Linked DNA regions of Struthio camelus. The main gene of each other region encodes a partner of the protein of the gene in region 3 in a complex. Links are inferred from orthologs where the notes say so. Each region holds a gene or a part of one and is shown on either strand. Other genes may lie near its edges.

What was found. The genes of interacting proteins can lie anywhere in the genome.
Region 1: TIMM21 (region 3) and COA1 share a complex: the UniProt entries of both Homo sapiens proteins name them as parts of the MITRAC (mitochondrial translation regulation assembly intermediate of cytochrome c oxidase complex) complex. The link is inferred for Struthio camelus from reciprocal best matches to the Homo sapiens genes TIMM21 and COA1.
Region 2: TIMM21 (region 3) and SURF1 share a complex: the UniProt entries of both Homo sapiens proteins name them as parts of the MITRAC (mitochondrial translation regulation assembly intermediate of cytochrome c oxidase complex) complex. The link is inferred for Struthio camelus from reciprocal best matches to the Homo sapiens genes TIMM21 and SURF1.

The regions. Positions count from the first base shown.
Region 1 is NC_090943.1:60,050,424-60,054,170, forward strand, and holds the start of COA1 (cytochrome c oxidase assembly factor 1 homolog), read right to left. Parts: upstream 2,655-3,747; 5' UTR 2,584-2,654; intron 1,992-2,583; exon of another isoform or gene 1,800-1,991; intron 35-1,799; exon of another isoform or gene 1-34. UniProt on the Homo sapiens protein: Component of the MITRAC (mitochondrial translation regulation assembly intermediate of cytochrome c oxidase complex) complex, that regulates cytochrome c oxidase assembly.
Region 2 is NC_090961.1:5,153,219-5,156,965, reverse strand, and holds the start of SURF1 (surfeit locus protein 1), read right to left. Parts: upstream 2,789-3,747; 5' UTR 2,664-2,788; coding exon 2,625-2,663; intron 2,238-2,624; coding exon 2,156-2,237; intron 2,032-2,155; coding exon 1,904-2,031; intron 1,519-1,903; coding exon 1,436-1,518; intron 567-1,435; coding exon 375-566; intron 45-374; coding exon 1-44. Other genes in the region: SURF2 (surfeit locus protein 2), read left to right, coding at 2,832-3,011, 3,370-3,524. UniProt on the Homo sapiens protein: Component of the MITRAC (mitochondrial translation regulation assembly intermediate of cytochrome c oxidase complex) complex, that regulates cytochrome c oxidase assembly.
Region 3 is NC_090943.1:108,128,290-108,132,036, forward strand, and holds the start of TIMM21 (mitochondrial import inner membrane translocase subunit Tim21), read right to left. Parts: upstream 2,750-3,747; 5' UTR 2,331-2,749; coding exon 2,030-2,330; intron 1-2,029. Other genes in the region: FBXO15 (F-box only protein 15), read left to right, coding at 3,624-3,724. UniProt on the Homo sapiens protein: Participates in the translocation of transit peptide-containing proteins across the mitochondrial inner membrane.

The DNA of each region.
Region 1 (3,747 bases), about 48 Mb from region 3:
GCCGCTCTAAAGTCTGTCCTGCAGACTTCCTTAGGTAAGTTATTCTGGGTCAAATAAGAGAAACTGTTGTGAAATAGCAATGCTTGAATGCAGCTCTGGCGTTTAGTAGGTAAGTCACATTCATCTGTGTTGAGTAGCCTGTGGCAGGTATAAACTAAAGGTCAAGTGCCATGTTATTGGAGAAGACATGCGTATGCCTGTCCCTTTGGGTGGGTGACAATACTCAGCTATAATATGCTAAGTCTAGTGAAAACCCCCAGCATCAGTTCTTCCTCCTGTTATGCTGGGGTCAGATCTGCAAATGTAAGGATTTATTTTACTCTTTTTGCTACTCCGGCATTGAGGCAAAACCCCAAAACTTGTATTAGAAAAGTGGCCAAGATAAGTATGTTTCAACAGCCATGCAGAGCCTCCAACTTCTAGGCAATAACCAGCTTTGAAGTGAAATATGTACTGCAATAATCCATGCACACTTCATTAATTCCAGAACTGCAACAGCAAAGTGCTACTTAGAAAAAGCTGCAAGATAGTAATGAAGGGTTTCGGTTTTATTTTTCTTCTAATCACAAAAGCGCCTTATCTCCATTCTCCATGTTTTTTTTTCATTCAATTTACAGGAATCCAAATTAAAGCTCATCTAACAATAAAAAATCACTTTATTACATTTGACTAACCTTTTCATTCCCCTCTTGGTGAGAATCCCTTCTGTCTTAGGGGAAATAAATGTAATAAATTATTATGTTATCTTAAACTAGCAAAGTGTCAATTGTTAAGATGTTGAAATATCCAAAATCAGCCAGTGAACATATAACATAAAATGCAAAGAAAAGTTAAGAAGTTGAGGACCAGCAATTCTTTTCAAGTGTTAACTAAGAAAAAAAAATCTTGATGCAGCAGGCTGCCAAAAATGCAGTATTTTGTCATCTCTGCATCAACATGCACACATCTGTCTTTTCTACGTGAACCTCCATTCAAGTATGAAAAACTTCAACATGGGCTACTGCATGAAATGAAATCTTGGTTTACCACTCAAATTTGTGAGTCAAAGCATAGACTCAAACCAAAAGGCTAAGAGTCAGTTTAATGCAGCACCTAAGCATGGCTGTTTCTGCTGAAAGAGGTGCTCTCGCCCCTTCTCCCTCCCTCCTGCTGGACTGCATAGCTGCAGGGTTTTGCAAGCTGCAAATACAACGGAAAATCAACTTTCAGATTTAGGGATCCGCTTGGTTTTTGATACAAACCGTGCAGTGGCTGGGGCAGTGGAACAGGGCCATCTTGCTGTGACAGCCTGCTATTACTCCAACCTGTGAAGCTGGCCTGAGGGGGGAGGCTCACGTGTATGGTTCAATACTTTATCAAAATCAGGCAATCCTGCCCACTCTGCACTACCCACTCGCTTATGGTGCTTTAAGAGTTCATGTAAATCAGCAGAAAGTAATTGGTCTGGGTTAAAACCAGGCAGGCCGGGAGGCAGGGGGAGTTTGCTGAGTTAGTTTCAAATCAGATCAGGTCTCCCATCTGGTTCACTAGGAAGAAATGAATGAAGTACACCAAACCTCAGAGATGCTGCTGTGTAAAATATTAAACGTTTTAAAATGATAAAATGTACAGTAAAAAGGGATGGGGGAAACTAGTCTGGTTTAGTGACAAGAGTGATCTTAACAGGAGGGCTTGGATTTTTAAAAGGGGGGGGGGGGAGAAATAGCAATTTTTTCCCTTTGTGGCATCAGAATGAATATTAAATACATGCTTAAGGAGCATCAATCACTTCTCAAGCTGTATGTGAGTGACAAAGTAAATCCGGCCCGAGGTTTCTCGGTAGGTAGACAAGAGTCACCACGGCTGACTTGCTTTAAATTCACGTGTCCCCGCACCCCCGTCGCCCTCTGCGTACTGGGGCCCAAGCGACTGCATCCTGCGCCTTCTCCAGCTCATCCTCGCCAGCACAGGCCCTGGGCAGCGCGGCCTCTGGAAATGATACTTATATTTATGTAAGTAGCCGAAACCAGCCTTAGAGGAAGCCAGTCCTCAGAGCTTTATAATTACTCAACCGTTTTCGGCTTATTGGCTTTTGCTTAAAGCCTACGAGATGCATCTGCCTCGTGCACCGTTTCTAAAAACAGTTAAGATGTATTTAAATATAAAATTACCATTAAAACTGTTCTAGTAATCGCGCTGTGAGATGATGTGCGTGGTAATTACTGCGCTGCCTCATCCTCTTACTCGGCTAAGCCTGCGCGCTTCGCAGGAACTGGGACACCTGGCTGGACAGCTGTTCCGGGCCTAGGTTATCTCACTTGCATCTGCACCGCTATTGCCTTTTTTAAACACGCCCGCGGTTCCTTGCATTCAACACTGCTTTTCAGGTGTGCGATCGCCTTGAATGTAAACTCCCCCCCCCCCCCCGTCTCAGCCCCCTCGCTGCCCCTCCACCCCCGCTCCCCACAGCTCCCCTCCAGAGCTGGCCCCGCGGCCGCCATTTTGTGCAGCGCCGAGCGCGCCAAGGGAGGGGGCTGGGGCCCCGCCCTAACGGCCGTAACCGCCCTCACCGCGCCCCGGCCCCCGCTGCCCCCCCCCACTCACGGCGCGGCGGTCGACAGAAGGGCTCACGCGTGGGCCGTGGGAGCCGCCATTGCCGCGGGCTCCGACGCCGCCAGGGGGCGCTGCAGGGCGGCGCGGAGGGAAGGGGAGGGCCGGCCGGCGGGAAGGTGGCTGCCGCGGCGGCCACCGCCCCGCCGGCCCTGGCTCCTTCTGTGTTTAAACTAAGGGGATATTTTTCCTAGGGTCCTGCTCCTCGGGGGCTGGGCTGGGGGTTTCCTCGGTCCGTGCCTCGCCCGTTCGCTGCGGCCGGAGGAGGGTGGCCTTGGCCCTGGTGATGAAATGAGTGGGGGCTGCGGCTTGAGTGGGCTCCTTGCTTTCTCGGGGGGGGGGGTGGTGATCTGCGGAAAAGGGTTTTTCTGTTGCCTGTGACTATCTGGTTAAAACACTGTAAGTTTGCTTTGTTTTTCCTCAGTTGCCTTGTGCTATTCAAGGGCAGCAGGGTATAATACTTGCTGGCAAGGAGAGTTAGCAGCGGAGAGTCTTGCAAGCCTGTGTAGAGACAGCTGCGCCTTTCGGCCAACTTCCGCGGCAAAGTGCAGGCTGCTGTGTATCCAAAATCCTGCCTGTTCAGAAACAATAATCCAAAACACAAACTTCCTACCTTGTTCTGGAAGTCATTCTTTTTTTGTGCTACTTTATTATTTTTCCAGGGCAAGCCCCAAAACGGAATATTTTAAAAAGCCACCCGTACGCGTTAGAGTAAAATAAACAGTTTCGGTAAGCATCTTTTCAGCAGTCGAGAGAGACTTGGGTTTGAATTTTAGATCCTGCCTGGGAACTGATTCCACAAAGAGATAGGCGTGTTTAATTTAATTACCGCTCTCTTCTGCTTATCTTTTCACTCTAAATAATCCCCCATCGTTGTACCGCATAACCTGGTGTCACTCACTCTTGGAGCGTATTTAGTAGGCTTTCTAGCGGTGTAACTGAGATCAGCGTTTAGGCTTGAGCGTTCAGTAAAGTGTATGTGAATGTTACCAGATTACAAGGTCCTGAGTACCAGGCTCACAGAACCCTTGATTCATCTGAAATTAAAATGACGACTGTCCCAATTTGAGAGTGTCCTCTGCTGCTATTTCTTACTACAGCATACATGCTTGGCTATTTATTGTATGAGCTTCCTGGCGGAGAGAAGTTGAACCAAAC
Region 2 (3,747 bases), on a different chromosome or scaffold from region 3:
ATTTCTTTTTGGGCACAAATCCTCGGTTGACTAAAATCGTGACGCTAGAGTTACATAAAGAGGACAAATACAGCTCATTAGAGAAAGGAAATTGTTCATTATTCCTGCCGCTGCCTAGAGCTTGGTAGCGAAAAAAAGAAGCAACCCATATGTTTGGTGCCACTTTTTTGTCATTTGAGTGCACGTTATAAGGGATTTCAGATACAACTTGGAAGCAAGCCTCTGCGACTTAACAGGTTGTGAGAGACAGAGACCTTTTAAAGGACAGTGAGTGCTTCACATAAACCCAGCCACTAAGATTCAGCTCGGATAAAGCATGACTTTAATTAACTACACATACACATGTTCTCAGGCTTGTGCATGAACACACTTACCCTAGGTCTGTGCAGTAGAAAGGAGTAACTACATTTGCTCCGTTTTCTGGGTTGGATGTCAGCCGTCCGGCTTCTCTCGCTTCTCGTTCAGGGTCCACAAGTGACCGTGGCAAAATATAGAGCTCCTTGGAGTGGTCAAAATGCCCTCGGACCTTTACAGGCCTGTACTCTAATTCTTTCAGTTCCATAGGGCTGCATGGAACAAGGTGAAAACAAAATCACGGCTGTGGTAGACAGATCAAACCAGGGAATTTTATTATGGGATTCTCCTTCTCCCCATGATTTTCTCTAGGTCCAGCTGGCAAACAGAAAGAGAAGACAAGTACCTCCTGGTATAAGCAGCTTGGCTTAAGATTTTGTTACTATCATAGTAAGTCAAATCACTAAGATCATGAGCATCTAGAGCACAGCTCTTTTCCATGATATCTGTAACTGAATACCACTTCAGTGATGCACACGATGCACACAGCGAGACAGCAGGTGACACACTGCGTGTACATCATGCCAACAGGGAGCATTTCTTTCCCATCCCAGACTGTGAAATAGAACTACTGAACTGTGTTGACAGTTGTACCATATGGCTAAAGTGACCTTAAAACTCTCTCTTGTATCTGACCCAACTGCTCTGCACTTGGGGCAGAGCTTGCTATCGTTCTAAGACTCCCTTGCTGCAGGAATACTGTACAGCAACAACCAATCTTTCTTCAGCGGTGCTCAGTAACCCCCTCCTCTGGGACATCTTGGGCAACAACTCCCAAACCCTCTTTCTCCAGGCTGAATTACATACCACAGTCTCCAGAACAGAGATTTGACCCCTTTAGATGCCTTTAGAGTATCCCACAGGGAGGTGTTTGCAATATGCATTTGAAACAAGAGAACGAACACGACTGTCTATCCTGTGAATTTGCTTGCGCATTCTGATTCCCATTGCATTTCTTCATTTGCATGCAGTTTAGTTTAACATAGACTACATGTTGTAGAGCGTAGGGACCATAACTAGTACCCCCAGCACACTGGCAGTACTTGGCAGACAGCAAACTGCAACATCTCAGCTTCCTTACTCTAATGTCAGAGGGATGGGCTCTGCTGCAATTCTTGACGCCAACTGCGCAATCAAATCCAATTTCCACTTTCGTCGCTGAACCTGGAAATACACAGAGTAATTCCCACTGGTAGAACAGAGCAGTGTAATAACCTGGCAAGGCTGAAAACAGAGTCTGCTTCTTTTATCGGTATTTTCTCTTCAGATGTGGCCTAAAGCAACATAATTGCAGATTCAAAAATGGAGGCTACTAACTTCATTTGGGGAGAGAAGAAATACTGACATAAAAGTAAAATAAATGAATCTCTCATTCAAAGACTTACATGAAACTCACAAACGGTAACTAGGAAAACTATATATGAAAAAGTATCTTCCAATCTTTACCCTGGCTGTGGTGTGAACTAGCTCACATTAAACAGCCGAGGATGGAACCACCAGACAGCCCTTAAGCTCTTCTCTCATGGAAGAACGAAATATTTATTTGTACCTGCCATGTGCCAAGGCAGAAGGTGGTCAGAGGGACAAGGAGAAGGCCCCACTTGAGTAAGACACCCTCTTCAGATGCGCCAGCGGCTGCTGTAGAGCTTCGCGGTCTGCACGGCCTCAAGCAAAGGTCTGGAGAAAACCAGAACGAGGAAGCGGCTTCGTATTGCAGAAAAGGTGCCAAAGTCCCGCAGAAAACGTCACGGCTGGAGTAAGGCAGAAACGGGGCGGACGCCTCGGCTAAACCTTTCCTTACCTTTAGTGCGCTGCAGCAGACCAGAACGCGCTTCAGTGAGAGGACATCCGAAACATGCTCGTCTGACCAAGCCACAGGACACCTACGGGAAACAAAAACGACCCTTTGCAGTGACTCCGCTCGGCGACGTTTGCCCCGAGACGGTGCCAGCTGCCTCCAGGGTGGCAGGTTTCGTTTCCTGCTGTATTTAAGCCTCCTCTGGGCAACCACCGGCCAAGCACCACAGTTTAGGCTGTAACTCCGAGGAAATGAAACTCCACCCCGCTTACGCCGCTCACTAGACCGCGACAAACGCTCTCTGCGCTACCAAACCGTGGTTTGTTTTTTTTTTTCCCAAAAGGATCGGTTTTTAACCAATCCACCTGGTGGCGTCCCGCAGGGGGACACCAGGCCCGGACCGGGGCCGCCTCCCCCGAGGGCACCGAGGGGGGCACCGAGGGGGGCGCCGGGCCGCCGCCCCCCGCCGCACCTGGGCCCGGGGCTCCCGCAGCAGCCGCCAGGTCGCCATGGCAACGCCGCCGCCGGCCCCTCGCCGCCCGCCCGCCTCCGGCCTAGACCGCCCGCCGGTCGTGCCGGGTAAGCTCCTCTCTAGCCGCCTCTCTCTATGCCACCGGCTGCTTTCCGGCGTGGCCCGGACCGGAAGTATAGGCGAGCTCCTGTCTAGCAGAGCGTCTCTATGATGCGGGCGCCGGGCGGCGAGGCCGAGGCGCGGGGCCGCGCGGAGATGCCCGGCGGCGATGGCGGCGGCGGCGGCCGCCCCTGCCCCTCCCCGGCCGCGGCCATGGCCGAGGTGCCCCAGGAGGTCCGGCTCTTCCTGCGGCAGCACCCGCTCCTCGGCCTGGCGGAGCCGGGCAAGGTGAGGCCTGCGCTGCGGGGCTGAGGGGCCGCCTCCTGCGAGGGGGCCCTGAGGGGGCAGCGGGACTGCGGCCGCCTCCGTGAGGAGCCCGGGGGGCGGAGGGGACCGGGACTGGAGCCGGCTCCCGTGAGGGGGGAGCGGGGCCGCCTGCCCTGAGAGCCACGGGGGGACCGGGGAAGGCACCCCAGCACCTGGGCTCTGGGCTCGGCCCCAGGTTGCTGCCTGGCCCGGAGGTTTTTCTCCCCGCTGTGGGACTGAGGCCATCAGGGAGGAGGGCCCTGGTACGAGCCCTCCCCTCTGCAGCCCGGCCGTCATCCCTTGTGCTTTCCTCACTTTTATCCTGCTTGTCTTCCTTCAGGTGAGATGCAGGCTGACCGGCCACGAGATGCCGTGTAGGATGTCGGAGCTGCAGGCTTATACTAATGGCAAGAAGTATCAGAGGCTGACAAAGACGGCCAGAGAGTTTGACTATGGCAAGTTTGAGCCACATATAGTGCCGAGCACAAAGAATCTGTACGTATTCTTCCTCTTGCATGTTGTGCTTCGCACCTCATTCAGCCTCACAAATAGAGTGGGTGGCTTGCGCGAAGTTCTTGAGCGTTTATGGTTTTTGATAGGTGAGGAAAGTCTTTATAAAGTATTTGTTAGCTTTGACCATAGTGCTTAGGAGTGAAAGATTATGAATTAATGGTAGACTTAAACTCTGTTGCTGGCTCTTTCTTTCTTTCTGTGTCTG
Region 3 (3,747 bases):
TTACTATAATCTACAAGAAATTTCCCTTCTTCATCCCTCTTCACCCCCAAGCATGAAGTTTTGTTGCAACTGCAGCTGAACTAAAGATGATGAAGTGGAACAGATTTTAGAAAACTAAGTAGCAGTGTACAAAAAGCAACTTAATTAGATTTTGACATGTTCCAGATTGATGAAATCATGATATTCACTGTACACGTCTCTGAAATCGTTTTTAGTTTAGTGTTATACAGTGATGTGAAATGAAGCGTTTCAACTCTGCACTCAATGTCTAGGCTAGGTCACCAAAACATACCACCTGTGGGCAGCATTCAGAGCAACTTAATCCAGTCCCTCTCTTTCCCCACAGCCCGTCAGAATGATCTATGAGTTAAATAAATTGCTCTGGTGGCAACATATAACAAAGGATGCCTCGTTTCCCATGATCCCACAGATGCAAGGCCACTTATATGAGAGGCAGTCTGGCTAGGTAACAAAGAGGGAGCTGTAGGAAAGCAGCAGCTAGAAATAGGTTGTGGGTGCTACAACCATTCCTCTGACAAACAACCTGCTCTACATTATTGAGCATCTGTTTCTTAACAGCTCAAGCAGATAGGGGAAGATGGTACTATATGTGTCCTGCTGGCTGGGTGATCTGGAGAAAACTCCGTCTCAAGCCCTGCTGCCTCTTCAGCCTGAGAGGAAGTATTGTTGCATGGCAGAACGTTGAAACATATCTCATTACTGTTGCAGTGGTTGGGCAGGATATTTTAATCCAGATGAAGTTATCCTTTACAATCAATGTTAAAGAGCTAGAAAGCTAGTGAGACCAGATCAGTCAAGTCTTGGTGGTTTTCTGGGTGATTTGTGTCAACCACAAGTTATTAGGCTAAATAGCAGGACTACTAGCTGAAACGTAAAGGTTTGCTGCATACCAGAGGACAGGTTAGATCATCTACTGGTACTCTTTAACCATGAATAGTATGACATTACAGAAGAGTAGGAGGACGAGTAACATTTCAACAGCAAATTTTTTCTGTGCACAGTTTGAGAACTATTCCCTTTTGTTACTTATGTTGAAGATTAAAATAGATTTTAATCCTCAAGAAAAAAAATGTATTAACAAGTTAAGAACTGTAACTAATGTTAAGGTTAGCCTGCTGAGCTCATTAAAAACAAAACCAAAACAGGGGTACCTGTGACAGCAGAGGACTAAACTGAACGGTGCAGGTAGAGATCTCCTCAGTCATCCACATAGAAACATTAGCCGACTGCTGCAGATCTTACAGGGAATCAGCTTCCTGTACATTAGCTACTCAGAGTGCTGAACCATTTGTCAGCTAGCCTAATATATAAATTCTTTGTATGCTGAATTCATCTGTTTTTTTCCATTGGAATTAACTGTTAAATTCAATCACACTGTACTAATATTACAAGTACAGTGTAAACTCTGCATGAGTTGTCTCTGGAAGCGGAAGCAAATTACCCAGGCAGCATGCAGTTCCAAGCAGACTAATTAACTCGATGAACAGGTGAGGAGAGAAGAGAGTGAAAAAAAAATGCAAGATAAATTAGCCAGTATTGAGCTAAATGGAGAATTACCTGTCACCTAGTAAAAATCTCATTTATGATAGAAATATTTCCAATAACAAAGAGCTTTGCCAATTTTACCAGGAGTAAATTTGGTTTAGCAGCATCGAAGATGGATTGTGTGCAACAGGTCTTCCTTTAGAAAATGGAAAGGAGAGGTTACCATATCTTACCCCAGATGTGGCACGCTCTTGACTTAAACACTAAAAAGGTGTTCGGAAGAAGCCACGGAATTTCTATTTTGCTTGTGTAACACACCCCCTAAAATGTGTCAATTGCTGGAAACAGCGTAATGTAAAAAGAAAAGGGCGTAACTTGCCTTTTTTCTGAGAATCACAACTTTTCAGCTCCTGAGTTCTGGGGCTCTAAAATCTCAATTGCAACAACGTCTGATTTCCTACGGGTCAGCCTTTTCAAGTATTGCACACTATTCCCACTCACTAGTCACTACAGGCCGTCTTACCTTTCTGAGCAGCCGACAGAAGGGTTTCTTGTTTTTGATCCCTTTGCACTGACATCTGTTTGCTATTACCACCAGATTTTCCAGCTCTCAGACCCCCTGCTTGCGTCCAGATATTTTGTTTTGCATCCTGCAAAAATCCAAAAGGGCGCAGGGCAGGCTCCCTGCGGGGGGGCTGGTGCCTCCACCTCAGGCACCAGGTCGCCGAGAGCACCCTTCCTGAGGCTGCGAGCAGCCACTTCCCCGAGGAGACCTGCAGCTTTTCGCCGCACTGCCTCGCTCGCACAAGAGAGGCAGAAAACATGCTGAGGCAAAAGAGACGGCTTCAAAACGCTATTACCCAAGTGTGATTTATGCTAAACTAAAAGTTTCTCCTGCGTGCCACCGCGACCCGTCTTCCCGGGTCCTCTCCTCTACAAGAGGGGCACGCAGGGTGCCGCAGGGGAGCCGCCCTTAAAAAACCATCAGTGCGGTCTCCTGCTCTCAATTTTGGCCTGCAGCTTGCGCTTCGCTTCAGAAGTTCACGTTACCCCTTTACTCGCGGACAGCTGCGCCTCGCCATTGTCCCGGCGGAAATCTTTCGGAAAAAGTAGCAGCGGGCCCTGGGAAGGGTAGTTTATAAAAACTCCCTCTTGCGCCCGCTACTGAAAACGACTCACAGGAAAGTAACTACAGCGACCGCGATGCAAAGCGCCGACGGCCCGGCCGGGCCCGGCCCGGCGCGGCCCAACCCCCCCCGAGGGCCGTTAACCGTCAGGGGCTGCGTGCGCGCGCCGGCCGTCGTGTGCTTCCGGCGGCCGTTATTGTGGTTGTTTGTTTTTTTAATCTGTTTTTGCTTTGCCCGGTATGAAGATTTTTCAATAATGTCCAGTATGGTGCAGAGGTTTTTTTTTTTTGTTGTTTTTTGTTTAGGAACAATCAAACTAATGAAATGTATCATTTTTGCTCATTAAATCCTGCTTGCAAGTGCGTTTTTTTTTTTTGGCTCTAGAACCTGATGGAAATAAGATCTCCTTATTTAAAATCTGTACGTGTCCCGGCAGTCATGGAGCCAACCACCTGTCAGAGCAAATCCTATTCGTCAGTTTTGCCCTGAACACGTGTTTAATCTTGTTTTTCTTTAAGAAACGCATACATCACAAGAGTCTGCATGCAAACGTATAAGCCACATGTAAGAGAGATATATGTAAAATCTCACTCAGCAAATAAATATGATGAGTTAGATTACCGGACAAGATTTTGCTGCACCTTTCCTAAGGAGCTTCACATCGATAAGGAACTTAACGAATCGTTAGCGGAAAACGGGCGTTAATTTAACGGGGAAGGTCGAGTTCATACGTTGCGGCGTCTTACTGTCACTGTTCCGCGAAGCAACTGTAGGAAACGCTCAAATAACGGCTTGCTCTAAACAAACGGAGGCGCTGCCTGGGAACTCACACGAGTTCCTGCCGCAGGTCCTAAAACAACCAGCAGCTCAGGGAGAGATTAATTGTTTTTCCATCTAGCAACGCTCCCTATCAGGCGCCATCTTAGACGCTGCGCGGCCCCCGCGCAGCCGCCGCTCCCCTCCCTCCGCCCAGCGGCGGCGGAGCTCGCTATGGCGACCGGCCGCGGCCGGGTGCTGCGGCGCTACAGCCGCGGCGGGGCGCGGGCGGCCCCCCCTGGTGCCGCGCCGCCCTGCCTCGCCCCCGGGCCCAGGTAACCGTCTCCCTGCGCCGCCC